Styela clava: one gene and its partner. The protein of the gene in region 1 purifies or fractionates together with the protein of each later gene. This does not show direct contact. Links are inferred from orthologs where the notes say so. Each region holds a gene or a part of one and is shown on either strand. Other genes may lie near its edges.

Region 1 (16,516 bases):
AATATGTGATTAAGAAAAATATAGAAGGATAACACAAGAATTCAATTCCACTCTTTTACCGTTGCTTCTTTCTGCCTTGAGCAGGGTTCCCCTTTCTGAGAAGAAATCATCTTCTGGTAGGAGGTTCATTGTTTTGAAGGAGAAATTTTTATTTGCATGTAGTATTACTAATATTCTTCACTTATTTAGTATTATTGTAATACATATTTATCCGCACATTATAAACCATTTGAATGTACAAAAGGCAGATACTAGAAAAAACTGAAACAGACGTTTTGTGCCTAACAAGGGAGGATGAGGCGTTTCAGAATATGCAATGGGTGGAATGTATTAAAAAAAAGGTGGGAACATGCATAAGAATTGCATTTTGATCCGGAAGAGTAAAAATAGGTATCACATACAATTTTTTCAATTGTTATCAAAGTATGAAGTATTCCATACAAGTTTATGCAAAATTGATATCCTCCAGGTTTTGGCAGTATTCTCCCCGTAATGCTCACCAATATAAAAAACAAACAAACAATACAAACCTTTCACCAGGGTGATTTGAATCGGGCCGCATTCTTTGATGAATGAAAGAATTAACGTTGTGATTTACAGGACCAGTGGGTAAATAGGGTTGTGGTGCAGTGCCAGTAGACGATGCCACGACAGATGGTGTAGACTTGATGACCTGGGCAGCCTTTGATCTTGGTTGACCAGGATATAACGCTGGCTTTGTAAATATTGTGTTCGTCTTGATATGTTGCCCCGATGCTTGCGTCACAATACGGTGTGGCACGTTCGAAGAAATTTGTGGGCTCTAAGAACAGTAAAAATTGTTACAATTACACAGGGATGGGAAATTCAGAATATTGAATGAATTCGATTTCAACCATTGCACAATAACTTTGATATTTTAAGTAAACTATTTATTAGTTGACGGCCGACATTATCTCTAGCAAGCAAACAAGTGCCCCAATTTCTCTTGTTTTGTCGCTTGCTTCTGCAAGTTATGCACACACACAAGGCAAAATAAAAATAACATAGGATTCGTCATTCTGGATTTGATTTAGGTATTCTAGAATAGTATTCTACAATTACATTACAATTCAACTATTATAAAATGTTTGTAAAGACGCGGTTCAATATTTCAAAATCTTACCTCGGCAGCGTAAGTATGCATCGATTGATTCTGAAAATGCAATTTCTGGCTCGCAGAATCTGAAGAAGTAGTTATAAGAGGAATTAAAATCTGTGTTTAGAAGTAAGAAAAAATGAGTCTATATTTCCAGTTCAAACTGAGATGATTACTAGTATACCATTTTGAAAACTAAGGAGCCTTGCTAAGTTGGCTTGCTAATTTTACTTATATGGTACTTATTCATGTTTTCAAAGCCATGTACATGTCCAAACGGCTACTGATATCTAGCGATATGCAAGAAAGTACTATTTCTGTGAGGGCCGAAATATTCCGAGTACCAATTTATTTCATGAATGAAGTTTTTATACAAAGCGTGTGGGCCGCACTAACAAATGTTGGCCTCAACACAATCACCACATTAAACTTCAAATCATGACACACCTGCTTTCTATTCCTGTGTTAATTACCACTAACAAGTCAGCCTACTACAAAACAAATAACCTAGCACTGCCATTGTTACAACATAAATCCGTTAACAGATAATATATTTCAGAGCAATTTTTTTTTTTAAATTGAAAGTGGAGTCTTTCGAGGGCCCCGAAAATTTTGGCTGTGGGCTGTATTTGGCCTACGGGCCGCAGTTTTCCGATCATTGTGTCTATACTTACTTGATTCAGATTTTACAGGAGTATGTTGTTGTTGCTGTGAAGTTGTATGAAAAGCTGAATGACCAGGAGGTTCCATTTTTACTTGTAAATCAATGTTTAGAGGGTGTATTGAAAACGATTGATTTGCGCCTTCTTTTGCTAGAACGAAAAATGAATTTTAAAATATGAAAAAACAAAAAAAATTAAAATCACTTCGACTATAAAAGATGACATAACTTACCAGGATTATTGGAGAATTGTGAAGAATGAGTTTTTATGCTGTTCACCTTCAACGGTGTGATACCATTACTTGGAATGATTTTATTCCCATATACTAGAAACAAAGATTAAATTTTAAACTATTATAAACAGTCAATCATTCTATATTGAAAGCTATGGATTGAAAAAAGGATGTCAAATTTTTTAAATGAACTAATAAATGCTTGTTAAAGCAGGTTTCTCAAACTGGGCACTCGGCCCCAAGTGGGCCATGGAGCTGTACTCTAAGGGGCCATGAGAAAGACCTTTATCAGATCCTTTTGCTATGACTACATCAATTCAAAGTGAATCGTTCGAATTTAATAAACGAATAAATTCTTATTAAAGCAGAGTTCAGAGAAGATTTCTTGAACTGGGCCCTCGTCCCCCAAGTGGGCCACAGAGCTGTACTCTAAGAGCCACTAGAAAAGGCATTTACCAGATACCTTTTGCGATGACTACATTAAATTAAAAGTAAATTGATTGTGAAATTCTTAGACTTTAATGCGTTCATTCTTTTTCTTTCGTTTGGTAGTTTTACGTTTTCGGAACATGGGTAATAAATGAGAACCCATATAAAGCAAAACTGTGTGTTTTTATATAAGGACAAGGGCCAAAGTGTTGAGAGTCTTTGAGAGAAGCCACGGATAATTAAAGTCAATAACCCCTAGTTAAGATTCACAAATTAAAATAAGAATAAATACAATTCTTCCCATTAAAATTGCAGCATTTATAAAACAACACCATGTCAAATTTAAGAAGACGAACCTTGATTTGGCAACACAGGTTTGGTTTCCCCTTTTTCATTTTGATTTCCCGCAGTCGGTACGATTATGGGAACATCTTTCATTTCTCCAGCGTTATTTGTTAACTTTTGTCGATTTATATGATAAGGAGCAGACCTGTAATAAGGCAGAATCAGATTGTCAGTTTCAAGTACAAATTTGGTTGAAACAATTTGATTATCGGTAAATAAAGACAAATTTGATAGAAATCCTACAAAGCTAAAAAATTCATTTATTTTTAATAATGTATCAAGTTGAATATGACATAAAGTTAACATTTGTGCAAAAATTTATTTTGAGAAAAATGGAGCAACCTAATTATGAAATTCATCATATCAAAACCTTATACGTCGCCCATTAAGCTGAATAGCTATGTAGAATCATTTGGCGAAAAACATGCACGATGACAGGCTTTTCAAAAACTAACAAAATTCAAGATAGAACAATGAGTTTCTTTTCAAGACAAAAGTCATTTTCTATAGGAGGTCCATTTCTAGTCCTAATTGATTACTGCTAACTAATATATTACAAATATATACCTTCTGTCATTTGGTAAAGTGTGGAAATCTCGACGTTGATTTGGAAAGTTTGATGCAGATGTGAATGACAACTTTTTAAGAACATTTGAACTGGAAAAAAAAAAATTGAAAAACCATTCGTGAAACAAATACCCGAGAAATAGGAATAAATTAGAAGACTGCAAATAACACAGCAACCAAATTTATTTATCACTGTTTAAGATAAAAAATTCTAATTAATTGTCCTATCACATTTGAATCATTCAAAATCTTTTCAATGAAATTTCCTAGAATTCTTGTAGGAGCAAGACACAAGCACAAAAATTAGCTAATCATCGTTACCTGTCAGGCCTTTGTCTTCTTAATATAGCTGGCTTCGGAGACATTGTCGGCGTAGAAGGGCCACCACCACTTGGCGGGTTGACTTGATTATGAGACGTATTGCTTCGATTTGCAGTATCAGTGACTGTGCAAATGAAACACGAATTAGAAATGACAATTATTATTCTAACAAAAATAACACAAGACATCAGCAAGTGAAAAAAATGGTTGCTTGTTGGTAGTTGACAAGTATATTTAATAACTGCATCAATAACTTGCCAATTTAAAAATTTGAAATATGAAGCCCATTAGTAGGAAAAGACTGACTCTAGATATTTATAAGGCATCTAAATCCATAACAAGGAAAAAACATTGTTTGTAATCTTTGTTACAAAAAGAGTCAAGATTGTTATTATCATCCTATACAAGCAATGTTATGATCCGAATTGATACATTAGTCATATCTGTTATACAGATGTAAACAACAAGTAGTGACAATGAAACGAATGTCTGAATATTTCACCTTGCAACAAAGAAGGAGCTGCACCACCAGAACCTTGTAAATGTGTCGTTAAAACGCTACTACCATGTTGAACTCTTATTGCTGTTGCCACCTGATGTGGATTCGATGTACCTAAATTGAAAGATTAAAAATTTTGGGTTAGAAAAAGTATCCACAGCTATAAACCATGCTGTGCATTCATAAATTCCAGTGGTCAAGAACTCGGGTCCATAGTAAGATATTAAGATTCCATAAGCTTTTCATGTACAACATAAAATCCAAATAAACTACTCTTCATTGTGGTACTGCAAAGGAGAAAAAAATCAAAGGCAGCCCTCTAGTAGAGACCATTTCTAAATAATATTATTAACGAGAATATCGGTCAGAGACCGAAAATTTATCGATCGAAAGTTAGGGGATCCCACAAAACAGCGCTCTTATTCCATAGTGACACCTTGTGTCCCATCACTAATCAAATAATAACTCGCTAATTATACGACATAATTCGCCCAAAATAAATAGGCTTCTGGTCCGAGATAAGATGAATGCACATGCAAAATCTGGAGCAGATTCAATCTCGCTTTCGTGAGATATCGCGTGCATCTAACAGACAGACAAATACCCATCAACATACTTACCGATTAAAATCGATAAGTAACTAGCTTATTAGGTCTTCACAACCTTAGCAAACTGTTTAAAAAGGTCCATAGGATGGAAAATGTTACTACCGGTCGAAGATCTTACAATTATAATTTAAAATATCTAATCAAAAGTGCAAGCAAAAAACAAAATATTTTACAGTACATATTCACATTTACAGTGAAAGAAATCCTATTTCTTTTGAAAAACAGCGCAGAATATTCCAAGTTTAAAAATAATCAACTAACTAAATGGTTTGATTTACTTAGAATGCATTCCTAATTAAATATATTCTAGAATATTTCTAAGAGTTTTCAGAAGTTTTTTTAACTAAATTATCGCATTGGCCGTTTGTTCTGAATCTGAGATGAAAAGGAGTCTATCATTTCAACAATAAAGTATATAAATACATGTAACAAAATACAACTTACTTGTTATTGTTATGCTGGGTCTTGAAGCAGCAGTACTTCCCGCAGATGATATTGTCTGTTGAGCAGCATAGTTCAAGGTAGTTGGCCAACATAAAGCAACAGACTAGAAAATGATTACAATACATAAAGTTCATTATATTCATATAAAACAGCTTTAGCAGTAGTTAACGTAGTGGTCAAAGTAAACAAAAATCAAATTTTTCCCCAATATACTTATCATGTCTATGAGTATTACAGAACAAACCTTATTATTTGCTGCAACAGGTATGGTGGATACAATTGTTGACTGTGATGTCATAGCAGTAGAAGTGGTGGGTGTCGGTTTGATTGAACCAACTTGTAATACCGCGGGACCTGTTGTCCTAGACACCGTTGAACTGGATGTGTTTACTGATGATATCATTGGAACTGTCAATCGGCCGCTTGTAGCTGTCAATGCTACCCTCGACGTAGGCTGAAAATGTAAGGATTGTAATGCAATTTAATGTCGTAAAATACTAGATTTGTACACCAATGCACTTAAAATGAAAGATTTTTTGAATTCAATTTAAACGAAAGTAAAACTCTCTATATTATAAGCACTGTTCTTAGCGAAGGGAAATTAAAATTCTATAATATATTGCTAATGGAGTAAATCGATGTGTTTAAAATTGAATGAGTGAAGATTTAAGCTATTCAAATACTGTCAGCAATAACTAGCTACCTTACATCGATTTCTTATTATTCACTAAAGAATTTTGCTTAAATCAATGTCATCTGAACTCATTCAGAAGTAAAGGGGAATCATCACTGAGCAAAGTTACATGATACTACAAAAATACCAAGAGGTATCAATTCTCATTATGTAAATATCTTAAAATCAAAAAGTTAAGTATTTTCGTTATTACACAAATCAATCAATCGATATCTGGTTGTTAGTGCATTATCGAGCAAGAACCTTAAGCAGTTTTTATCCTATAATATCAATCAATTGGTAATTAGACAACAATAGTTAGTTATTGATCATCTACCTGTTGTTGAGGATATACTTTTGCAATTGGTATAGAAGATACATTAGCTGGATTAGGAGCTGGTATGTAAGTGATTCCTGGTCCACATGTCATCACTGTTACTTGACCGGTCGTGTGTACAGAAGTTGATGATGGAAAACTCGCTAAAGGCAATGAATAAGTAAATATTTACTCAGTTTCAATTCATATTCTAACGATAATAAAATCGTTTTATTCTGGAAATTTCGAGTTTACCTGTAGTAGTGCTTGCAGATGGCTGGCTGACAATTGTAGCAGAAACAGATAGTTTCTTAATCGCACTATTTTGGCTGTGTATATTAGTTTGAAATCCAGGTGCTACCACTTGATAAATAGGCTTGTTACCTAAAAATAATGAACAATATATTTACAGAAGTCTTAAACTCTAGTTAATTTTGAATAGCTCAGATAACTCACCTGCGGAGAGTACAGGTGTGGCTGTAAGTGCATTCCTGTGAACTGCTTCTGGAGGAGGTATATTAGGTAGGGTTGGCAAAATACTGATGGTTGATTTCGTCTGCGGCAGATTGCCATGCCTGAAAATATAAAATAAAAAGACAAGTAAATCAGTTGAGCTTCAGATATTGAGTTTTTATTTCCAATACAGTCAAAAAAAAATATTGAGAATAGTGGAAAAAACTGTACCAAAACATTTTGCTGAAATTGCATAAGCGACAGCATTTATGTATATTTAAAAAAAACGTACTTCTTTGACAAATCATGAGGAGACATTGCCACAGTCGTTGATGTAGATGTCACTGCATTATTTTGGAATATGAGTTTTGTTTTTGACACTGTGACTGCAGCTGTTGCTGATGTATTCGACACTGGTGGTGTGTTGAGGTCTTGCTGATGGATTACCCATGAGTTCGTTGGAACTGGTACTCGGGTAACATTTAAAGGTTGTGATGGATCGCCATATGTACCCGTTTTCGTGACTTGCCGTAATCCAGGACCAAGCAACACAGGAACAGACTAAAAGTATAAGAAGTGTTTAGGTTGGAACAAAGTGAATCTCAAAACAGGAAACACATGAATATCAAATTTTTTTCCATAACCATTGCATTGAAAGTCGAAACATTACCTATATTTAGGGTTTAATAAGTATTAATATTGTTTATAAATGATAGTAATCAGAATTAGTCTAGATTGACCTTATTTATTTTCGATTCGATGACGAAATAGTAGTCAAAACAAGATTCCAAATTGTATTGAAAATTGGCCTATAAGATATTGATACTCACCTTTGCCATTGGCACTGGTTTAACATTAGCTTTCACGTGTGTGTCAACAGAAACTGCGTTTAGAGGTGTGCCTATTTTTTCAATGGAAGCATGACCAGAGTAAACTCTTGGTACAGCAACACTGCCTGCGCTGGGCTTATAACCAGTGGATACCATTAATTGTGGTTTGGACCCAATTTGACGAGAAACTTGAAATCGGGTAGTAACTGCAGTCGACTAAAAACAGAAAATATCACATTTTTTGAAATAGTTTCAATTAGGGCTGTGAAATTTGGGAACATATATAAATGACTCTGTTATAAATGACAGTTATTAGAAAATTAAATTTTGAAAGCAAATTTGTGGCGAATGCAGGCCTGCTTTAATAGACTGTAAGGAATACTTGGTAAACATAATGCTTTTCAAGTTTCTGTTAATAATTTTGACTTCTTAATTATCACCCTTGAATGTATAAAATTCTAACTCCATGAAATTCAAAATTAGCTTTGAAAATGAGACTCTTCCGCCAGGCAAAACAAGCCAAATATAAATACTCACTAAATTTAGTATTACTTACAATTAAAGCTGGTTGAATGATAGTAGCAGATGATGACTGTGTGGCTGGGTTGTGTTTGTCTCCAGGCGTCATCAAAGAGTATTGGCTTCTAGGTATAAACGGCGAACCTGGGGCAGGTGGGTTTGCAATAATAGCACCAGGACGTAATAATCGATTTGGCGTCGGTTGTTTGCTTTCTGTCATTGTTACTTTATGAAATCCAATATCATCATTATAACAAAAGTTTATCATAAAACCTTTTGAGTGAAAAAATATGGTATTAGAGATTGAAGTTGATACAGACTTCGATACTTGACTCAATGAAAAGTTAGTTTCTTCCTGACAGAAAAACATTTGAATGAATGTAATTTTTTCCTCAGTGGCCTGGCCAAGTTATGTCCAATTAAAAACCGATATAAAAAATGAGCAATGAAGCATGGTATGCTATGCAAGTATTTTAATTCGAGTTGTTCCGACACAATATTGTAAAAAATCATATCAATGCATCATGGGAGAACAGCATTAAACACTATTCGCCCCGAGGCAAAAAGACACAAAATATAGAATATATATAATAGTTGACAAGAAACATGCAATGGTTTCAGTCGACAGTATATTGTTGTTTTTCATTATGTGGTCTTCAAAAAAATTCAAATTAATATAAGATGACTAAAATTATAAACCTACAAAACCAATTTGTATACAAATTTCAAATTGTTTATAGTTTTCAGTTGCTAGCTAGATGTACTAAGTATATATACCAAATTTCTCAAGCATATAATAGTCTCGCAGCAAAATTTTTTAAATTGGATTTAATCCAAACCAATTGATAAATATAACTGATATTGTGGCATCAAAAACTATTTGTAAGGTGCTGGAAACCCTCAAATATATGAAACTAAATCACATTTATATTATCCTCATTCTACACAAAAAATCCTGATGTAAGAAAAAGATAGTAGCAAGGCTGTGTTTTATCTGAAAGTGTCTCATTGCTCAATGTATACATCTCCCAACTTCAGCTATCTCTTTTCAAAAGACTGAGAATGCCAATATCTTGATTGCTTAATCATGAATCAATATTTAGTCATTTAAAAAAGACTTGCCTGAACAAAAAAACAGAATGTACCCAAAAAATACACGAGTAGAAATAGAAAGATTAAAAGTGTAAAAAATTGATATTTTCATTTTATACCATATAGAAGGAATATATCCTGCGTACAGGGTGGCCCAAAAGTAGGTATACAGTTATTGAACTATTTTATATGCTTTGAAGCTACTTGCAGTTCACTTTATGTTGCTCGTTAAGTACCACAAAAATTGCTTATTTTTTAGATAATAAATCTAGTGTGAATTTTACATTAGTTTTCTAGCTGCTTGGAAGGTAATACATTTGGTAAATCTTTATTTTATTTGAGGGTTAATGGCGAATATTTAAGAGATTACCTTAACGAAGTCTTTCCTGCAGCGTTGGTTCGGAAGAAGGGGTGGCATTGAATGGCCACCACGCTCACCTGATCTGACACTAATGGATTTCTTTTTTTGAGGTGTTGTAAAGAATAAGGTGTATGAGTAAAATCCCAAAACAATAAATGAATTAGAAGATTACATTCATGACGCATTTAGAGAAATTGATGAAGATCGAAATTTGTGTCGTACTGTGTGTCAGAGTGTTTTGGACAGGTGTGAAGAATGTTGCAATGTTGGAGGAAGACATTTTGAGCACTTAAGAGATTAAACAGTTTCTGTCTACGATATAGCTAGCATTCTTAAACTTTAAAAATGCCTAAATGAGAACTACAAACCTACTTTTGGACCAAACCCTACTTTTAATAACTAACTGTATACCTACTTTTGGGCCACCCTGTATATGGATATCATCCTTCAAAAATGTTTTTTGAAAGGATTTATTTTATTTTATAAGCTGGTGATTTTAAGATTATGCGTGTTCATAATATTATAATATAGGAATAGATGTGAAAATGCCAATATCGGTTATCATTATGGCATTTCAGGTTTCAAGTTCACCCAGAAAAAATTATACATTCGATTGTGTAGCTTTTTTTTTAAATTACCAGTATCCTGAAATTGAAAATATTTGTTGTTGAAATAGATATGAAATCAATGTTTAGTTTGAGATATTCGCTTAATCTATTTGAGTTGAAGTAGAATGACCTCTGCATCAAGATAGCAGAAGCCACAAAACAATTTAACTTCGAATCTCATCAATACAGGTGAATTACTGTTTTTTGAATCCAATTAAATTAACAATTTGATTGAATTTTATATCTCTCTCTTAGTACATGTAGTTCAGAAATATGTAACTGTCGATAATAGACTTATAGACATGGTTTACTGCCACTGGACAACCATGGGTAATGGTCAGCTAGTATAAATATTATGCATGTAAGCCATCAAATATTTCAATCCATATTATATGTTAGGTTTGTTCTATATACAGATATAACGTTACTTATATGAAAAACGTAACGAATACATAGCTAGAAAAATGTAAGATATTCAGAAAATTGCATTTGATTACCATCTTCAGATCTTACTCTATCATACCTAATCAATCGAAATAAAACAGATGGTTATAATTAGGCTGTTGCATAAGTCTGTAAGTGATATGCCAGTACCGGTACAGCACTAAGACCCATACAGTCATGCAGTCCTAACACAGTCCATCAGTACCGGTATTACTATATTATGTTGAATCTCCCAGCTCTAGGCTACATACAGACATAGAAAATAAATATATCATAGAGTCTAAGAGTAAAATGTAGCATCTTACTACATAAGCTCCATGTGATTTACTTCCATCCAAAATCGAAACGAAGACAACCCAGCTTAAACTCAAGACGCGATACCAGTATTATCTCTTTTTCGAGCCTCCGTTAGATCAGCCGACAGTTTCACAAAATAAAAACTGTGACACTTCATTACGCAAGACAAAAGTAGTCTATTCAGAATACAAAAACTGACTAGAGTCAATATGAACCAATGGAAAACCTTTTTTACATGCGGCACAAAAGTAAATAAAAAACAATCTCGTTTTACAAATTTAAGCCGACAGCAAGCAGCCCTTCAAAAATATTCCGACTGGTACAACAACATGATTGTGGTGGGAGCCGTGCGCAAAAGATTGCAACCCCCGCCATACCATGTTTCCATTGGTTGATTTTGGTAGCAAAGCATTATTTCTATTGGCCACTGGTGCGGAAACGTAACTCAGCCGTGAAAAAGAAAAAAGCGTCCCTCGCAAAAGACCGTCGCGACATAAAAACAGAATGGGCGGTTTGAAAGGATTGGGAAACCCTGAAGTGTAGACGTCGCTATTTAGCGATGTTTTCGACTAGAGATTGTAATTGAAGTGCAATGGCATCGTAAATTGATGTCCTAGATTTGTATTAGGAGCGTAACTTAGTCATTTAGTATCGGGAATAGTCAGTTAAAGTGATGTATATATTGGAATTCGTTTGGTATTCTCAGTCGTCGATCCTCGATACGGCCGAGCGATTTCGTTTTGAGGGTATGCGCGGGTTGCAGTATGTTTCGTCTGTTCTGATCTCAGATGTTTTTATTATTTTCTTTGCCGTCGCAATATATCGTTAATACCGCGATTGATTTTACAAATAAATAATATTAATTAGACATTATATTTCTGTATTTAAGTTTAACCTATAACTTTATGATGCCATAAAAACATCATTGGAAAAGCTGAAAAGGGACCTGTATTCAGATAATAATAAAATGGGAATTGTAAAAATAGGTAACTTATGTGGAAAGGTTACAGTTTCATCTGAATCTTTCATAATGTTTGTGTATTCTACATATGCTGTTACATTTTGATGCAAATAAACAAAATTCATGTTCATGTGATTTTTATATGATTCTCATGAATAGGGATGTAGCCATGTAGGTTTAAGAATTTCGAAGCGATTCGAATCAACATCAATTCGAAGCAATTTGAGAAAAAACAGCTTGATTCTATTTGAAAAAATATTAATTTAGATAACACGAGGCGATTGCAAGACGCCGCAGTGTTGTCTTGTTGAACAATAACATTCATTTTCTCTACGCTTACAGCGTTCCCAAGTCTTAACACTCCGGGGGTTGTTATATTTCATATGGGTCGCCGCCTCAGAGGAACCAATGGTTTCGTTAAATTGTTTTTAGACTATTCAAAATGTCAGGAAGTTAAACGAATATGTTATTATATGAACAAGTATTTAAATTACCTAAGTTATATAATGTCATCATATTAACAACAATATTTGCAATAAAACATAGGTCTGCGATGCTTCCCTCGTTATCATTTGCTTTCTTTAAAATCACGGCGCAAGCAATATTAACGCATATTTCACTGACGTTTATCATTTGAATGAATTTTAGAAGAAACCATCTCTATACATCCTATATTGTTTGCGAACATAAATTACTGTAATAAGTAAATATAACTGAGTGTAACTCTATATAGAAATAATGGGGCTCCCGAAGTATGCGAACCAAGATGGCGGACATCGGAATGTAATATGTGTACCAGGTTAGAGTTAGGCCATAATTTTAGGTATAAATACTACGGGAGGCTCTTGGCTAGTATTCGAACTGATAATAGGACTAGAATAAGGAAAATTGGAAAAAAATTATCGCCTAACCCTAACCTGTTACCCATGTTACGTTCCGATGTCCGCCATCTTGGTTCGCATACTTCGGGAGCACCGAAATAATACATATCCTCTAATATATTATGTAGTTCAAGCATCAATTTAATGTTTTCTTCTACTAACTTCACTCATTCCTCAAGTTCATTATTGTTATTTAATCACCCTTTATGCTATAGTTCTTTTAAATCCAAGGAGAGTTAACGATAATATGATGTTATACTAAATAGAATCAGATTCAAAAATATTCGAATCGGAACATTTCGATTCGGAATTCGCTTCAAAAATAAAATATTCGAAACTTACATCCCTACTTATGAACTAACTCCTTCAACGCATAAACATGTACATATTTTCTATCAAAATATTATCCTTTTTTCATCGCTGATGCTATATGTGATTGCCAGACTGTATTTCATGGCTTTTTTTCACGAGAAAGCAAACGTGCAATCACAGATTCCCGGCGTGCAACTTCTATTGAAACCGCATGAAAACCGAGTTTCTTAGCGTGCAACTGACAGAATTAACTTGTTTAAAATAAACAAGTGTAAAATTATTTAAACGGAACATCCCAACTGTGGCTTTGACGCTTGGGTTTCGGTGTGTTTGGGAAATTGTAAAAGCTTTGACATGAGGCGATTGCGAGAATAAAATAATATGCAAAGTTAATAACAATTCCGAGGTGGAAGTGACGTAAAAATGTTAAATAAAGATTAGGATGTGGGGGCTTTAGACTTCTTAACTAAGATTAAAGCTTTATACTTAACTAAGGAATCGTAGGTTAAAATTTCTGGTTCAAATTCCATGCTAACCACCCATGGTGTGATAAAATGAGTATGCCATGCACGGAAAGATTCCATTTTTTTCTAAAATAGCGACTTACATATCAGTGGCTGCTATGGAAAAGTCTTGTTTGGAGCGAAAGGCATAAATATGTGGTATAAAAAAATTAGATATACTGTTACCTTACACAAACTAAGTTTGCCAACCTCCTTATTCGTGCTTTTCTAACATTATTATCTGACCAGGATGACTGAGATTTTCTAAAAAGTTACTTATTATCTGACTGTTTTTTAAACTTGAATTAGAAATATCAAATCTGTTAAAATTACGCCTAAAAGAAATACGATTCGCGAAGTTGCTCTTTCAATCACGTTGAGTTGAACATTCTATCGCGTTAAGTTGGTTCGTTTATGTGAACAAAAACAAGTTTTTCATTAAATTTTAATTTTATTAACAGGTTAATATTTGTAAACCAATAATGCCCTCTTTGGTTGAAAGAGAGGAGATGTCTGAGCCTATGAAGGAAGCCCTTAGGCGGCATGTTGTTCGAGAGAGAGAAAAACGAATGCGGGAAGAAAAGGAGGCTGAGAAAGACTTTGAACGGCGTGCTAAAATAGAAGAAGAAAGGAGAAGGAAAGAAGAGGAAGATAGCGTCACATTGGAACAAATAAAAGATCAACTGTCAAGTTTGCACAAAAAACATGAGACTTTGAAAGACGAGAAACACCAGCTTTTTTGTCAATTGAAGAAAGTTCTTCAAGAGGAAGAAAGAAAAAAGCAAAAAATAAAAGAACAAACCGAAATGGTTGCATCCAGTCATGGCCATTATTCACATTCTTTATCCAACATGAGCAATTACCAAATGATGCAAGGAGGACATTACCAACACCACCAGGCAATGCCATATCTATCATTACCTGGTCGTCAATCGTCCCCTCGTATTCATCCTAGTTTGAGACATTCAATGAATCCGCAGACTTCCCCAGCCCCTCACCAAGGTGTCAAGAGACCACATAGTCCCGCATCACCCCAACCAAGCCCTATACAAATGTATCAGAGAGCGAGTATGGCTGCGTCTGGCCACCTGCCGACAGCGCCTCAGCACTCAAAATATGATCACGCTTTTAGTGCTCACCCTTCAAGTCACTTTTCCTTATCAGGCCTGACTAATCCCCCAACAACACAACATGGTAGCATTCATGGAACACCATCACGTCATATAAGCGTTTTACATGGCACTCCACCAACCGCTCGATCAAATGATCAGAGGTCACCATACAATTCTTTATCATTGGATAAACAGCTTGAAATGGCCAGTCAAAAATCGGGTTTCGGAGATGATTCTGGTTCACTATCTTCTCCCGGTAGACGATCTATGATACGAATGCTGCCGCAAGGACCACTGATACCCCAACAAGTCACTCAGGGTTCCAGATCAAGATCGGGATCACCGGGTAGATATCAAGGACATCCTGAAAAACCTCATAGCCCATTTCATGTTGCAAATCCATTGTCTGGTTCAAGATATTATTGATAATGCAACCATAGACAACTAGTTAAACTGTGATTGTTCATGATTTTCAATTGTGGCATTTTTAGCTAATTCATTGTACTTGTATTTCGTCTCATCTGTATGAAGACTAAAAACTCCAAAATGTCGAGACTTCTGGTAGACTGGTCATATGAATGTTATCCATTTTCAATATTTCTTTATACAAAAAAAAAGCTATTTCTTGCTTCTAAATTCATAAAGTTTCAAATTATATAATCTTGACTGTGGGTTCTCAAGAAATTAGACAGATTTTAAGACGATTGAATACAGATGGTCAGAGTTATTGTTTTTCTATTAGTTTGCAATATTTGTTTTATGTCAAATTTTTCATTTTTGTCAAGTTTCTTTAGGATTTTAATTCAAAATAAATCTGTTCAGGTAATTTGAAGTCAAAATGTATTTTGCATCAGAGTTATAGAATGATAAGCTATTCTGATATTTTATATCATAAGTTTAGATTTCATTTTTCGATTGTCTCATATGTCACAGTGAGTCATCATCAGTTTGTGAATTAAAATTCTTGATCACTGTGTGTACTAACTTTGTCACACTCTTGTGTGATGTCACACAAATGTATCATTTATCTAAATTTGGAGAGTTATGTCTGACAGCCCTCAGACTTACTCTAAGGAAACTTTATTGTCATGTTATATCTGTCTGTGACATCTTTCGTTTTGAGTTTTGTTATTCATTGGAATAATTCTACCGAAACCTGGTCTAATCAATCTTTTATGAAATATCACATTTGGCTTGTATTGCATGTCCCACATAAATTGTAATAATCAATATTCCAATATTATCACTGGTAACTGTTGGTAAACTGCCTGCCTGAGGAAGTCTGATTTGGTCGAATAAATGTTGTAAAATGTTATGCAGGAATTTTGGCCAGTCATTATTGGAATGTATTCATAATAGCTATTTTGGTGTTTCATGGACTCTTGCTAAAGTCATGTTCTTGTCCAGTTTCAGAGCTATTCTCGATCTATATTTTTCCTTGAATAACTTTCCTAATGTGTTCCGTGTTTCTTTTTTGTCTATATTACTGCGATTATTGTACTTGATATATTATACCAATAAAAAAGCCGCTTCTTAAAGTTTTCAGCATAAATAGCTCTGTTGCTTAATTAGTTGTCTGTTACACCCATGATGTCTCTTGGTTTGTCGGATTTTACAGACATTGAATCTGAAGAAACTTTTTCTACAAATGGATTCGGAAACAATATTCTTACAGTTTTTGAACAGATTCGAAGAGAGGTAGGTGAACAAATTGTTGTGCATTATACATATGATAATAGTTCGATATATTGTTTAATTATGTAATTGAAATACTGACATGCATTTTTACAGGTAATAATACATGGATCGTTTATAGATTAATAAAATAATACAGTTTAGTATTAATAAAATAGTGAATACGTCATACATTGAGTTTCGATTTACTTTTGAATATCTGGTTTCACTGTAGTTGCGCAATTTTATCTTTTTG
Region 2 (16,120 bases), on another chromosome or scaffold:
AATAAGTCTGAATTTCGGTGAAGCACTCCTCTGATAAATAGCAAATAGGCAACCTGAAATATTTTTGCCCAAGTTGTGATGATCAAGACAAGATCACATATGTTTTTATTGTATTTCTCAATGCCTACTGGGCCTATAGACAGACATCCATGGCATATAGTACTGCACAATGACCCATAGGAAAAATAAATAAACCTTATAATTAAGTGCAACATTGATATTAGGAAAAGTAATGGTAGTTAGTTCACAATTTTCAACTTCTGACCACAACCAAATATTTCGCCTGGCTGTAAAACTTTCCTTTCACTGACATGTCCAGCTTCAACACAAATCATATTCAAATAACCTTCATCATCAAAGTCCGACATTTCTTTTGCTTTGGCAGACCATGGATTCCAAAGAACTGAAATACACAAAATGCATTTACTCATAAGCAAAGCCACGAGTGGTCACCAAAATCTTTGGGCCTCGTGATAAATAGTCTATAGAAAATTAGATTGCTATGCAATAATAGAGGTTACTTTACTTTAAGCAAATTTTCTTATAAACCAAGTGCCTGTCAATTTATACTAAATGCTCTGTGTTTTTGATACAACCTATTACACTACTCTTCCATGTGGTTCGTGTACCAGCTCCCTCCACTATATATTGTGGATCTGTAATTATTAACTGAGTCGTTATAATACCAGATCTGATCTGGTAATCAACTGAGAATCATTGTTCCTCTTCATATTGAGCAGTTTTATCTTCTACTCCTCTGGTATAAATATGAAAAATCTGTCAATGAAATGGAATTCATAAAGTTTTTATTATATAACCTGTATCCTTGAGATTTTGTTTTTCTATTTTGATTTTCCTCCCCTGACTGGATACAAAATGACATTTGGTTCCTGAAGAAATGTATACAGAGTCCACATTAGCATCAACGTGAATTTTTTCACGATTTTCCACTCTCCCATCTTCCTTAGTAACCTGTTAAACAAATTCATTTTAGATGGCTTAAACGAATGAGATAAACAAAAATCACTTTAGTTCATTATAAGACTACCTTGTCATTGTATGTACAGCCTTCAAACCCAGTGACTGAACACTCTTTAATGCTTGACACTCTGAAGTACGTATGAAGCAAAGCTGTGAAATCAAATGATTCGGTACCAGTGTTCGATATGGAAAGAGATGTCTCTAACTCCTGTGGTCTCAATTCAACAGTGTATGTCAACCGGAATCTATAATACACAAAAAAATGATGGGATTAACTAAATAAAAGCAGGCTTAAAAAGCATGACTGTGGCACAGTGATCCAAACTTTTTCAGCTCACAACACACTAAAAAATCACAGCATACTTCTTACAAAGCAAAGTTCTTTAAATCATTTTTTTTGTAAACTTTAATCCGATAAATGTGGCTGCTTCAAGCGGATTTGAATCACAATGAAGTCTTACCATTACCAAGAACATTTGGATTTTGTTGCAACTCACAATCACACTCGTTATTTTAATTTCAATTTCTGTCAGAAATCCATATTTGTGATTTGTCAAGCTATAGAGTTTGTAAGAAGCAGAACATAGGCTGCTTAAGTTAATACACTAATAATAGGTATTTCATGTTGCCTGATAAAAGGATTAGCAAAACCAAATTTCTAGAAAATGGTGATGCCGGCAAGGGCCAAATAGACTGAATATCCTAGGTCGATGCTTCAAAATTTGAATCTTTTCATGAGACCAACCTGTATTTCCACAATGATAATGTGTGATCATTTTCTTCTAAAACAAAAGTTGCTCTCACACAGTCTTCTAACTGATAAAAAAAACGGATTGTTCTTTTATAAAACATCAAGATAAGGTCATAGATGTAAAGATTATGTTATATATAGACATACCTTTTCCTGTTTTTGTAACTTCCACCATGAAATTCGAGCAAACCCATGTTGAGGACCACATGACCAAGGACCAAAGTTCGCTAAACAAAAATTTTTGGATTGGTAATATCAAAAATATATGAAACTACACTTCAATGAAGTACCAATCATCTAATGAAATCACAGGTATAAATATGGCAATTTCACAAATGGACAATTTAAAATATAACATTTACCTCTACTTACGAAATACGACTGGTATTCCTCCTCTGATTGCCTTGCTTCCATCCATTTTTGACAAAGTGCTCAAGAACAACTGCTCTGTATTATCATTAATCCATGATATAACTGTTGCACCAAATAAATGGATTTTTGCCGACGAGCCATTATCATGAATCAAAGTAACAACATTTGCATCCATATTCATATAATAGATTAATAGAAGTTAAATAAATCCTAAAGAAAATTTGAAAGCAGTCATTATGATTAATTCATGAGGACCAACAGAACAGAGTCAGTAACATGGCGGTAATTTCAAAATGGTAATTCACTGGCATACTATTCATCTGCAAACACATCTGAACAAAGGGACTATAAACTGAGAAGGAAATTTCAGACTTATAATCTTTCATTTTTAATCTAGCTTGGCATGTCCTCAAAATTATTCTTTGTACGTTGCAACAAGAACACTCCTGCTGTCAAGCCACCAATGTTGATATATTGCGTCTTTTTCAATTTCCATAGGAAGTGAAGTCCATCAATTGATCGTTTAATTGTTCTTTTGTCCTAAATTATGTTAAAAGGGTGAAATTAATAGGAGAAAAACTGTGCCAGTTTTTTATAAATAATGAATGGCCATTTTCTATGAAGATATACACATAGCATATTGAAGCAAGAAATAGCTCAAAGCTGAAATATTTCAGCTTGCATTTCAGTTGCTCGGAAAAGGCTGTGCATAAGCAGTCATTGATAAGGTGCAACTTTCATTTAGGACGAACCAAAATTATTTCAATTCGACATCGCATAGCCAATTTATTACACCCTGTGTGAGGTGGTGAGCATGGGATTTCAGCCCAAGATCTTAAACCTCAAAGGCTATCAAAGTTAAGGCTAACTGTAACTAACAATACCGAACCCACAAATATGAAATTTCATAAGTGTCCTTTGTCTGAAGACACAACGGGTCAATAATTGTCACAAGTGTCTATGATGGTCTGCGAACCAGGCACCACTAAGCAGAACTAAGAATTCAATCCACATACCAAACTATGTTAACAATTAAAGTAAAGGCTATTATACCTGTGTGAGCAAACATGCTCTTCCACTGTCACATATAGTTACTCGTGCAAGTTCTTTTAATAATGCTGGATACAGTTTACGATTATCAACTTTAGATCCAACACGTTTCCCAAATGGTAAATCTGATACCACAACATCGATTGAATTAGTCTTCAGTGGAAGACAAGTAACATCCCATTGTATGGTATCTGCTCTGAGGTTCATTCTTTGCAAAATAGGATGGTTATTATTGATAAGGACAATCAAATAAATAAGTTTATACAATGATAAAATCCAAAAGATGTCGACCGGAATCTATAATACACCAGTAATTGATGCATTTTCAACTAAAGAAAAGCAGGGTAAAATGCATGACTGCAGCGATGTTCTACCGTTACCAAGAACATTGAAATTCGTCACCATTACACTTGTTTCTGATTTTAATTTTTGTCAGAAATCCATATCACATAATAAAATGATAAAGTTTATATATAGTGATCCAAAAGATATAATTTGTAGAATACTGTACTTCCTTTTATCATGAATCTATGAAAGCCAGCATTTTCATCTCTTTTTAGACAAAGTCTACCTTATTTAACACTGGAGTATTTTTCAATTTTAAATCATAATCACCAACCTTTTGTCTTTTTCATGGTGTCCATCTACAAAATCTGGATTTTCGTTAATAAATTGTAAATTACAAGAACATCTTTCTGTGGCCGAACTAGTGTTGTCACCTAAAATTTAGAGCTGAGTTTATTATGCTGTTATTTTTTACATTGAACTAAATGACACAAAGCAATCAATACCTCCTATATGATAACTATTTGGCCATTCCAAAGCACCTTCAACTGGTATAGCACCTGAACCACACATTGGGTCGACAACCAATTCTCCCGTCTGTATATTACACATTCTAAGCATGCAATAAGCAGTTGTAGCACGTAGTGTGGTTGCACCAAAATGAGTAATATTCCTAAAAATAAAAAGAGATATCAATAACTATGTTTAATTAAGGTTAAAAGATCCCCATTTTAATAAAATTACTACGCTAAACAAGTGTCTTTTAACCTCCTCAGTCCTCACACTCTCAAAAACCTTGGTGAATATTTACATATTTCAAGATGTGCTGTACAACATTTCAATTGCTTATTTAGCTCAGCCTAATTGACATTTTTTAAACGAAAAATATTATAGGATGAAACTGGCATTTAAAATAACATTTTTAAATACAAGCAACAATAATGTCAACAACAGCAAATAAGAAGGCATTCGTGACTCAATCTTGAATGATGAAAAACGGGGGTGATCTATTTGTAGACAAAGCAAAATATGACTGCAGTTGAAACACAAAATAGAATTTATACCATTATCTATTTCATTTGTAATAATGTTGTTAAATATATGGCTTATTGACCAACTGAGATATTGTTTTAATAATAACCTTCTGTGCAAACTCTGAAGAGTCAATGCTACTGCAACTTCCAATGAACTCTCTCCTAGACATAGCATAATCTCCAAGTTGTAATTTGACAAATCAACCTGAAATGAACACACTTTGTAAATTTCAATCCATTTTGAAAATTTGATATTTATTAATAAATGATATTGACAGCATAAGAATATTTTTTTTTATGAAATGATTTGAAATTTAATGTGATCAAGGCTGTCGAACACGAGTGTGCAAACTGTGGCCCATGGGCCGAATGCGGTTCACAAGAAAAAATTGTAACAAGTTAGCAATTTGGTTTAATCTGGTACGTGCAAGTAATTTCAATCCCTTTACGTTGTAAAGCATATACCGTAACTGAGTCCAAATATTTTTTATCTATGCCTATGAAGTTACAATGCCCTAACTAGCTTGTGCGAAACAAACAATGCATGTCATGGGGCCAAAGTATTTTTGCTTGCAACTACTAGAAAGCCTATGTTAAACAAATGGGCAGCCCGTGGTTTTACACAGAAGTACTTTCTGCAACTTCGCGAGCTGCAGTTTATTTATCTGCTGAATCGAGTTTAGCGAACATGAGTAATTTTTTCGGCATTTCAAAGTAAAATCAGACAGAGATGACGGAAGAAGAGTTGACCATTTGCCTTTATTCTTAAGACCTACCTGTTTGCCTATAGCAAAACCAAAAGGATTGCTGCAAACTTGATAATGAACTTAACAGTCAAAAAGCTAGGCCGACGGTTAACGAATATGCCCCTACCTTACCTTAGTTAGTCCGCTTTAGGCCAACGGTGACACGATATTGAACGGTCAGTTGGGCGACAACTTCACGATCCCTAGATCGCCATGGTGACCCATTTAGACGTATTTTTGATTTATTTTTCACAGAACACTCGGAAGACGCTCGCGAAACACTAGTGTTCGGCGGAACACAGTTTGGGAAACGCTGCTGTAGAGTGTAGACAATCAGTCCAATCTTTTACAATATAATGTTAGAAAACAAAACCTCACCTGCCAATCTGTAATATCTTGAATCTCGCCTCCAAATCGATAAGATGCTTCGGGGGAAGTGACAGGTTGTTTTTTTCCAACTCTATTAGTTGTGACACGATATCGCACCAATGTTCCATCTGGGGCTATATTGGGTACAATAGGAGTCCCATTTTGACTTGTTCGTGGCTTTTTTGGTTCTTGAGGCTCAGTATCAGATGATGCTAAAATGTCATCTTTTGCTGGTTCCCTAGGAGAGTCATCCAATTTATCCCCGTTGCAATAGGAATTGCCTTTTGCCTGAGATTTTGGGTACTTTTTGTAAAGGTTTTCTTGTCTTGATTTACCTTTGCAGTACTGCTTATTGTAGCCCCAAAATTTTACAATATCAGACCAGTTGATTTCTCTTGCTAATTGTACAAGATCAGCATAAGATTCTTCTTTAGTTTCCTTGTAAATATAGTTTTCACATGTTTTTACAATCAAAAACATGCGATCAATCGACCTCAATTTATGAGCAAGTGCTAAAGAACTTCTGTTTGTTTTCCAATACACACGACCTTGCTTGACAATTACATCACTCTTATCCATATATGGAAATTTTTCTTGTATTTCATTTGCAGCCACTTTTTCAAGCCCTGTTGCCACAGATGCAGCAACAGTGACATTATTGTCTGGGTTAATATGGTTGGGATTCATACTTTAGGAAAAATAAGATGGGAGTGAGTATAAAGAGAAGGGGTAAAAGGGTGGTCGTTCATAACTATGCCTTATTTGTTGACCGTATCACCAGTAAAATGAGATACCATCTGCCCTTAACATAAAGTGGGTTTATTTCACAATTTCAGTTTATTGTTTATCAATTCGGTATTCAAATTGGCAATCCATATAACAAAATTATCAATGTGATTCATTTTTCACAGTTCTAGTTTTCTACTTTATTTGTTATAGTACTATCAGACTATGAAACATTATCCTAAGTTTCCCTCGTTATTTATTTGTTTTATCTGTTTTGCTGTGTTTGAATTAATTCTATATTTTCCACTTCCTTTCGGTTGTAAAACTTTTAATTTAAATTTGGCACCTTCTAAAGCTTACATAAGGCTTTGTTTGCCCTCCTGATTCTGTAATTATTTTGTTTTTATTGTTTGTTATGCGCTTGGTACGATATGTCCCTACTAAAATTGCTATATATGTTTGCTATGCCTATGCCCTACTAAAATGGCTATGTCCATCCTAAAACGGCTATGTTCATACTGAAATAGCAATGCCCATACTAAAGTAAAAAGGCTATGTCTCTGCTAAATCAGTAAATTGGCTATGTCCATACTAAAATGGAAATGTCTGCTAAACTGTCATAGTATTCACGTGTGTGTTGCGTGAACGTAAATTAATACGTCCGTTCCTGCTTGACTAAAGCCTTGCTTAGAGTGAAAACGTATAACGCCTTATTAATGAAGTGTGACACAATACCGGTACATGACCTATCGCAGGACACACGGTATAATAACAAGTCTTTCTGGTTTTAGGTGTATGGTCCCAACTACACCCATTGTGTAAACGTAGATTAATACGTCCGCTTCTGCTTGTCTAAAGCCTCGCTTAGAGCGAAAACATACAATGCCTCGTTACTTAAGTGTGGTACAATATAGTTGCATGAATGTAAATTAATGTGCTTACCCACGAAATCACAAGTTGCTCAGATGAGGATATCGTGAACGTTGGTCAAAATTGGTGTCTCGCTTGAGTTGCGTATTCATTTTAGCTCTGCGAAACGGTGAAGGTACGAGAGAGGTCGCCGGCGTTTGTTCCATACTCGCATGCGCCTTTACGGGTAATCGCTGTACTTTGACAAGCTTTTATTCAGTGATTGTGACGTTGCAGTGACGTACCGGTACCGTGCGTTTTACATGGCATAGTCATGGGGGTTAGAAATGACATAGGATAGGCCTATGCCTGTATGCAGAAATCGTTATGCTACTCCCACTAGAAATGCTTGTTGTACTAACTGACTAAACTACCTAGACCAGTAGACCCAGGTATGACCGTATGGATCAGAGACTGGATATTCTCTATAGTCCTGTACCGGTAGTCAGATAGTGGTGGTAGCATAAAAGTCATATTACAATATTGGAGATGTGATATTCTTGTAAAAGTATCGCTTTGTGTCCACGCAGATCCTAATTATTCACAACTTATAAACAGTAGGCCTCTAAATGAAGAAAATGTCGGAAGAAGATGAATATGACAGTTTTGATGATGAAAAATCACCAAAGAATAGTGAGGGGAGATCGAGCAGGCAAAGCAGAGGTCATGATGAAGACACGGATGACGCTAGTGAAACTGACCGAGCTAAATTTGAAGAAGAAGCTTTGGACCAGATATATAGGGACAAACTTGGTCAACTAAAAAAGCAACTAGCACAACTTGATTCTGGCACTTTGCAAGAATATTGTAAAAGATTGAAGAAACTGGAACAAGTTCACAAAGATAGACAAAGACAAGCTCATGCACATCAAGAATATTTATTGTATAAAGTTGAACAAGAATATGAACGAGAGAAAAAAGCTGCTATGAAAGACTTTGATGAAAAGAAGGTTGAATTAAAAGAAAACTTAATTGCAGAATTACAGGAGAAAAAGAAAATGATCGAATCTGAGCGTCATACAATGGAGCTCACAGGAGTTTGTCCTTCAATGGGAGATGCGAAAACACAAGTGAAACGTAATTTACGTCGACGAGCACATGACCCTGCCCCAGCAAATAATGATAAACGCCGAAAACCGAGTCCAACGCAACTAAATTTTGTACTTGATGATGAAGAAATTCTAGAAGATCTTAAAATCATTAACAAAGGCAAACCAGCAAAACTTTCTCATGAAATATCAGTGGAATCTCACAATACGAGTGGACAACCAGTAGAAGCTCGAATCGAGGGAGGAAAATTATTATATGATAAGAAATGGTATCACAGGGGGCAGCCAGTTTTTATTTATAATTACAAAGATAACACAAAGTTCAGTGGAGTTATTACAGTGATCGCTGACAGAGAAATTACAATTCGCAAAACATCAGGTGTGTCTGTACGGATATTTGCTTCACAGCTTCATAGAGGAAAGTATGGAATAAAAAAGAGAATGACTCAATGACAGTGACATTGGCGCATTACCATATAATGTCATCAGTAAATGTGTTGTTACCACAGGATGTCACCGAAGGTGCACTGTTGTGAGAATGACAACCTTTTATTCCCCAAAATACGGGTCTTGTGGGAAGTCTGTATGCACTAATGCCTTATCCAGAGACTTGTTTAAGACGAAAGTATGTGGACATTGTGCTAATATTGTGATGTACTTAATAATATTACGGAGTATAAACAATTTTATGATTGTGAAATTTTGTTGTATTAGATCCATGAATTAGGCTATAAAAAAGTATGAGGTTTGATGTCTGATTTTAGCATCTCTTCTTCAGGGAGCAATTTTATTATTTTAAAATGTTTTGCTATGAAAGTTGTTTTGTGGAGCATCTGTCGTATATAACTGCAAACATAAATAGTTTCAAAGTGATATTATATTAGAATATTATTTAGATCAGGGGTGTCAAATCCTAATATGATGTTTTATGTTTATAAAGGCGCTCACATGGATAAAATACATAATGTTTCTTTTTGCTCTTGTCGCTGCATTGAATCTTTCGCTGTTTTGCTCAATGCATTTATTACTGTAAGGCTAAGCGAAAGCCGCAATCTCTCGTCTTGTCTTTACTGCTAAATTTCTTGTGTGACTCAACTAGATGTCTGATGTTGGTTATATGGCCCATTGATAAAAAATGTTACACACCCTTGATTCAGATATTTCATATTCATAATTATTTTTCATCCTGTGTTTGGGATGTGGATTATTCTGTTTCTGCCTATCCCTGTCATAGTGTGAAGTGAAAATAAACTGTTGAGTTATACCATTGCTTTATGATCAGTTTTAATAGAATAAGGTTCCGTTTGACAATTTGTTTTCACTTGCTGATGGATACTGCTGAATCGTCAGCAATCATATTTTTAATTGTATACCTAAGTTGACAGGAATAAGTTTCATATTCTTGTAATGTCTTGATCTAACAAATACCATATTATGACAACTGACGATGCTTAATTTTCAACCTTTCAACCGGTGGCTGCTTTAGCAGAATTTTGTTTATTTTTTGTACATATTTGTATAACATTCTATTCTTTTATTTAGCCTAAAGATTTTAAAAACCCTAATAAAACAAAATGTCATTTTGTAGACATTCTGAACCCGTTGCTCTTCAGCGTATTTGGAAAGCAATTGATGTTATTCGTGGCCAACGTCAAATTGCCAATCTTTCCCGAATATCTAAAGTTATACAAAGAGAGTACTCCTATACTCCAAAAGAAATTTTACATCATATTTTGAAGGCTGTGAAGGACAATATGGTTGTAGAAACGGTTTCAGTTGGTTGCAAAGGTTCCAAAGCTGGGATGGAACAAGAAGGTTATTGGATTCCAGAAGATTCTAAAGTTCACTGGTATGAACAAACTCATGATTGGTATTGTTTCATATGTCATAAACCTGGTAGACTCTTGAAATGCAAAGATTGTGTGAAAGCTTTTCATAAGGAATGTATGGAAAATTCAATAGAAGAAACCAAAAGTTGTAAATACTGTAGACGGAAAAATACTGCGTTATTGGATGTCAATCATACCAGAAAAAGTAAGGAAATATTTAACAAATGTTTGAGATTTATTGCTCACCGAGCAATGGAAAATTTTCCAGAGATATCGCATCATCCTGATGCGGAAGGTTATATGCATTATAATTACTTTATAAAGCAGCATATGAATTTATATGAACTGGAGAAGTTATGTAAAGAGAATAAATTTGAAGTTGCCTTGGATTTTCTTTGTTATGTAGAACTGATTGTTCATAATTGCATACTTCTGCTCGGTGAAAACCATGAATATTCAAAATCTGCCAAAAGTGTGTTGGAAACATGTATGCATGAAGTCAAGGAATTGTCTTTATGCTCTAACTGTTACTTTCTGTCCAGCACAAAACCAACAAAAGATTGGTTTAGCACTCCATGTCAGCCACCTCATAGAGTTGTTTGGGCCAAGCAAAAAGGATTTGAATATTGGCCTGCTAAGGTTATTCAAGTAAATAATGATCAAGTGGATGTTCGATTTTTTGGTGGTCATCATGAGAGAGCATGGGTTAAAGTTGATAGTATGAGAAGCATTGTTGTTAGTCCTTCAGAATTACAAATCAAGATAACTAAAAGTTGGAATAAAGCTAATGCTGAAATGAAAGAATACATCATACAGACTGAAAAAGTTTATGGGTCAAACTATGCTGCTCAAATTGTTTCTTTTGACTATGAATGTTCAAGCGAGGAATCCTCTGATAGAGGACAAGAACTTTCAAACATTGAGCTGCAGACAAAAGCAGCAAAGCGTAAGGCAAATCCGAAGGACTTTACGACAGAAAAACAAGGCAAAATTCGTTTAAAAATCTCAAAGTCTAGGCTTAAACCGGAGAGCATAACTGAATCTGAAAGCAATACTAGTGGAAGTTCTGCTGTGATAGGGATTATACAAACTACGCATGCAGATAGAAAAAAGCAGATCTTAGTGCTTGGTGAAAAGGCAAAACCGAATAGTGAATGTGCTCGTACTTGGCAATATGGAACTGACTGCATTGTTTTAATCAAAAAATATAATTTAAAGAAAAAATACTCTGGTCTTGCATACCCAAATATCCAAAGTTCTAGAAAAGCACACAAAGTGGAATCAGAAAAAAATCAATTGTCCAAGTCATTTAAATGCAACTGTCGTAAACGATATCAATTAGTGTTATCTCGATATAAAGCATCTGTGAGAAAAATGAGAACAGTAGAGCGAAAGCATTTGTTGATTTCAAGTGCATTGTACATTCGGCGATATTTAAAACAGCAATTCACTCGCGCACAAGATCTTGAAGAGGAAGTAGCTCGATTAAAATCAGAAAACAAATTGCTAAAATCAAGATTTCCTGAGAACGCTGAAAGTGCAGTAATGGACACGACAATATTAATTTAATTTTTCTTACATAACTTGGATCTGATTATCATTCACTATATTATTTGGATATCCTCAGTCATCAATTTGTTTCATATATATATTAAAAATTGGGCGCTCCAGGAGTATGTGTACTAGTACTGAAACCTATGGGCAGGGGCTATATTCACTTGGCTAACACAGACTGTCCCTATTCACTTGGCTAACACAGACTGTCCCTGAACTCCCTAATAGAACTAAAATGAGGAAAATCCTAATAAATTATGGCCTAACCCTATCCTGGTACACACATTTCGGGAGTACAGAAAATTGCATGCGTTAACGCCAACTGTGCATCTGTCAATGAATCTTTTTAATTTAACCTTATCATCATACTAAAAATTCATCTCTGTGTATGCCTTTAAAAATTTTAAGTATGAAAGTGAAAAATAAAAATGGCTGCTTCCATGTTTCATATAGCCTTGCATCGCAAGACTTGTCTTTTTATTCTCATCTATGTATTATGTTTTTATCTACACTGGTTACAAACCTGTATATCAATCACTGTTCAATAATTTGGAATGAAAATATTACATGAAAGAATTTTTTTTCAATCATGAATTATAATATTTCTCTTTCTACATGAATCTTGAGTTTAGCTTGGTGTTGTCTCTTTGTAATCATGCTTCCTACAAAAATCACATTTACTCAACATCACGATGCTCGCCAATACTGCTACTCCGCCAATACTGCTACTCCAATAACCTAAGTTGGTAAAAATGTTGCTGATATTTAGCCATATCAAATTAATTTCAATTCAATCAATTGGAAGGAATTTTTTTTCAATTTAAATACTGTAGTTATATCGGCTCTGCTAATGTTTTAATATAAAAATGAACAATTCAAAAAAGGTAACAATGTCACATTAGTTTTGACCAATTTTTTAGAATACTGGGTTCATAGCATAAATCATCAGATACCGGTACTCTCATTTTTGGACATATGGATAAAACTCCATTAATATCAAATATTTATAATTGAAATTCATCGAAACAATCCAGGTTATGCTGAATTCAAAAGTTGGTGGTATTGATAAAATGTCTACAATACAGAAAAACGCCCAAGATATGTCCTTGCCCGTTGCTGAGATTTTTATTCCATCTCGCAGATTGATAAATTCATCTCATTATTACATTGTTTGATCCAGATAGAAATAATTTTCTAAACTAAATTATATCATTTCCATTGGGAGTAAATTACGGTAATTTCAATTTTTCGTATCTCTTTACAAATCAATAACAGAAATTTGCAATCAAAGAATGTAATTGACCTACTTGTTTTCAGTATGGAGTTAAAATAATAAGAAATTTTCACTGTATTTGTGTTTATATCATCTGAACCTGTAGCATGAATTTTTTGTCTGCCATCTACAGGTAGTTTTTTGTTGGTGATTGCAAACTGTTTATGAGTAAGACTGTCCACATACCAGAAAATTTGTATGAAATTCAATAATTGAGTGCAAATGGGGTGTTGTATATTCAATTTTTTTCTGATGGATTTTTTTATTTTTTGATTTATTGTATACTTAGAAACACAAATCTGTTAACGCCTAATTTTCTTTTGTGTTTTTTGCATTGTGTCTTATTCTAATCATTGCTCAATTTTGTGTTCAATATTCCTTACTTTAGTAAAGCTTTAAAAACTAAGTTGTCTTTTCTTAATTTTTTTGGATACATAACACAAAGGACGAGACATAGATTCTATCGGTGAGTAAAGCAAATATATTGAGTCATTGCATGGATTTATACTGACGTTGTCTATTCCCTGAGTTTCCCACAGGCTCATAATCACGTAATTTTCTTGAAGTCCTGAATTCTCATGTTATTTAATCCATCAGACTGCTAGGAAATGTAACTTCAAATTGAATTATGAATAAAATTTATTATCACAGTGTTAAGGAAAGTAGTTGAATTCTTAAACTATAGCATGCAGTTTGAGTTGAGTTTTCAATGTTTTATTTAGAGTTCAAAAAATAGAGTAATAAAATCGAGATAACCAGAATATCCAAGAGAGATAATATGTTCTAAAGCTCCTGTAATAAATATTCTCTTTATCGCATTTTACAGCATCTTCACTTTGTAAATATGAGAATTGGAATTTGTTCAATCCTTCATGCATGTCTGCTGACTTCAACTTTATGTGAAACAATAAATTTTGATCCATATGAGGTTATGAGCTTAGATCATTCTGCGTCACAATTAGATGTGAGATCTAAGTACAAAAAACTTGTCAAAGAATGGCATCCTGATAAAAACAAATCACCAAATGCACAGGAGAAATTCATCAAGATACAACAAGCTTATGAGGTAGGCCTATATCGTTTACAGTATAGTGCCCAAGGTTTGACCATTTCATGTATATGAGATTCGTGGACTTTCAATAAATGTCCCAGGCGGGTTTGTGGGTCGGACCCTCAATTTGAGACTGAGAGTTTGGGGAAAATTAGTTATTATATCATAATAGTGCTGCTCATGTAATCGCTGCTCCTGTTTTAGGAGCTATTGCCTGTGAATTATTTCTTCTGTTTCTTGAACCCCCCCCCCCCCCCCCCCTTTTAAAAAAATGCCTATGCCCCTGATGTTGAATTAATATAAAAAACACAAATCTGAAGATTTCCTATACAATTTTACAACCTATTTTATGATAATTTGAAGAGCTTGAAGTGAATTGTCATGACATTCAAGTCTTTCTTTACAGATTTTATCAGATGAAAACAAGAGAGAACAATATGATACAGGTGGTTATACTGGTGACAATGTAGGACAATGGCATCACCAGAGCGAATCCTTCAACTTTCGTTATTCTGATTTCTCACATGACTTCTTCAGTTCTCAAGGTGAATAGTCAATGCCATAAAAAATAGGAAAATTGGTAGTTGTCTTATCGTTATTGTTTCAGTAAAATCTTATTTAAAACTGGAAAATCTTCCCCTTCCAGGATCTAGTCGAACTATTTCAATCCATGACTATTATACAAGAATTTTACCAGACAGTCATCATACACCTCATCTCATTTACGTTTACTCAACATTTTGTGCTCAATGTATATTATGGTTGAGAACAACTTGGCATAAAGCTGCATCTGATATTGAAAACCTTGGTGAGTTTTTATATTTGCATTTTTCTATTGTAAACCACATGCTGCCTTAACCTCAGTAAAATTTAATTATAGATATACTATGGTTTTTGGGCTGTGCTATACTCCCATGTCCCATTATATTTTTTCTTCAAACATTCTTAGTTCTATCTTAATAAGTTAAATTTAAAATAATGATGGTTGGTTCGATCGAATAGCAATGTATCATCTATTTATTCATTTCAGTAGAAATATTGGGCTTGAGAAAGCTCCAATATTTGAGTTTACGCTTATTAGATGCAAAGATGTAGTAAATAAACTGTATTGATTAAAGAGTTTTGTGATTAGTTTGGTGGTTGCCTCGTTGTGCCAAGAATGCCATCGCATTTCGGCTTACCCTCCGAATATTACACGGGGATAATTCTTTGCAATAGTATTGACAACGGATTCATGCTGGCAAGGTATGGCTGCATCTACAACCAAGTCCATGCATCTGAAACAAACAACCTTTTATCTATTCCCATACCCACCTTGATCTGGTAACCAGACGAGAGGCTGTGTTTCGCCATATGATTAGGTTGTCTTATCGGCTTTCCTCTTCCCTTGAATCCTATCCTAATATCCTCTTTCTATTAATAAACGTATCATTTATTTCCAGGTGTTGCTGTTTATACTGTTGATACAACATTTACATCTCGTATTGCTGTTAGTTTGGGAGTAACAAGAGTTCCAACAATTATAGGAATGTACAAAGAAAAAATTTATTATTTCAAAGGACAAATATCAAGAGAAGAATTGAAATTTTTTATTAATTCTTTTCTTCCATCAAATTTGGTTACTCCGGTAAATATCACTGGTTGATAATTGAACGTTGTTTATGTTTTAAATCTATTGCTTTTAAAAAATGACTATATTTTTTACTTTTATTGTAGTATTACCATTTTAGCTGGTATTAAAGAAGTCTTTGCCAATTATTTGTACTCTGTAGTAATGCCTTTCCAAGTGATTTTTTCTCATTTTATTAAACAACTAGTTATCAGTGGCTATATGGTATCTACTGTAAATTGACGAAGCTGATATAGGTATAAGGCTCGAGTGCTCAATGACTTTGTTATACTTTTGCACATTTTCAGTGATTTTTCACAACATTGCCTCATGCAAATCTACATAAAATGGGCATTTTCTGTTTTTAAAATGACAAAAAAACATTTACGAATAATACAACTTCAATAATGGTTGTGTGAGTAGTTTTTATGAAATGTATTTTCCACCAAACATAAGAATACTTAACCAATTGTGTCATTTATTTTCAATGTTTCTATACTTCATATCAGCAAATTATGCTGATTTTTCAAAA

What was found.
Region 2: the proteins of uncharacterized protein LOC120327638 (region 1) and sin3 histone deacetylase corepressor complex component SDS3-like purify together in Homo sapiens (affinity purification with western blotting; 3 studies listed by BioGRID, with this or other methods). This does not show direct contact. The link is inferred for Styela clava from reciprocal best matches to the Homo sapiens genes SAP130 and SUDS3.

What each region holds. Positions count from the first base shown.
Region 1 is NC_135256.1:11,352,464-11,368,979, forward strand, and holds the start of uncharacterized protein LOC120327638, read right to left. Parts: upstream 8,307-16,516; 5' UTR 8,284-8,306; coding exon 8,053-8,283; intron 7,713-8,052; coding exon 7,497-7,712; intron 7,228-7,496; coding exon 6,959-7,227; intron 6,789-6,958; coding exon 6,670-6,788; intron 6,598-6,669; coding exon 6,469-6,597; intron 6,378-6,468; coding exon 6,235-6,377; intron 5,679-6,234; coding exon 5,469-5,678; intron 5,328-5,468; coding exon 5,225-5,327; intron 4,287-5,224; coding exon 4,176-4,286; intron 3,798-4,175; coding exon 3,674-3,797; intron 3,443-3,673; coding exon 3,353-3,442; intron 2,931-3,352; coding exon 2,797-2,930; intron 2,105-2,796; coding exon 2,012-2,104; intron 1,930-2,011; coding exon 1,792-1,929; intron 1,204-1,791; coding exon 1,145-1,203; intron 803-1,144; coding exon 531-802; intron 1-530. Other genes in the region: uncharacterized protein LOC120328217, read left to right, coding at 13,957-15,012; kelch-like protein 18, read left to right, coding at 16,174-16,284. UniProt on the Homo sapiens protein: Acts as a transcriptional repressor. May function in the assembly and/or enzymatic activity of the mSin3A corepressor complex or in mediating interactions between the complex and other regulatory complexes.
Region 2 is NC_135252.1:4,482,784-4,498,903, reverse strand, and holds sin3 histone deacetylase corepressor complex component SDS3-like, read left to right. Parts: upstream 1-7,508; 5' UTR 7,509-7,792; coding exon 7,793-8,725; 3' UTR 8,726-9,814; downstream 9,815-16,120. Other genes in the region: uncharacterized protein LOC120342985, read right to left, coding at 240-403, 819-972, 1,049-1,226, 1,727-1,797, 1,880-1,959, 2,105-2,285; tRNA (guanine(6)-N(2))-methyltransferase THUMP3-like, read right to left, coding at 2,498-2,644, 3,158-3,362, 3,774-3,873, 3,946-4,112, 4,581-4,678, 5,598-6,275; zinc finger MYND domain-containing protein 11-like, read left to right, coding at 9,847-11,670; dnaJ homolog subfamily C member 16-like, read left to right, coding at 13,773-13,994, 14,386-14,524, 14,626-14,787, 15,422-15,606.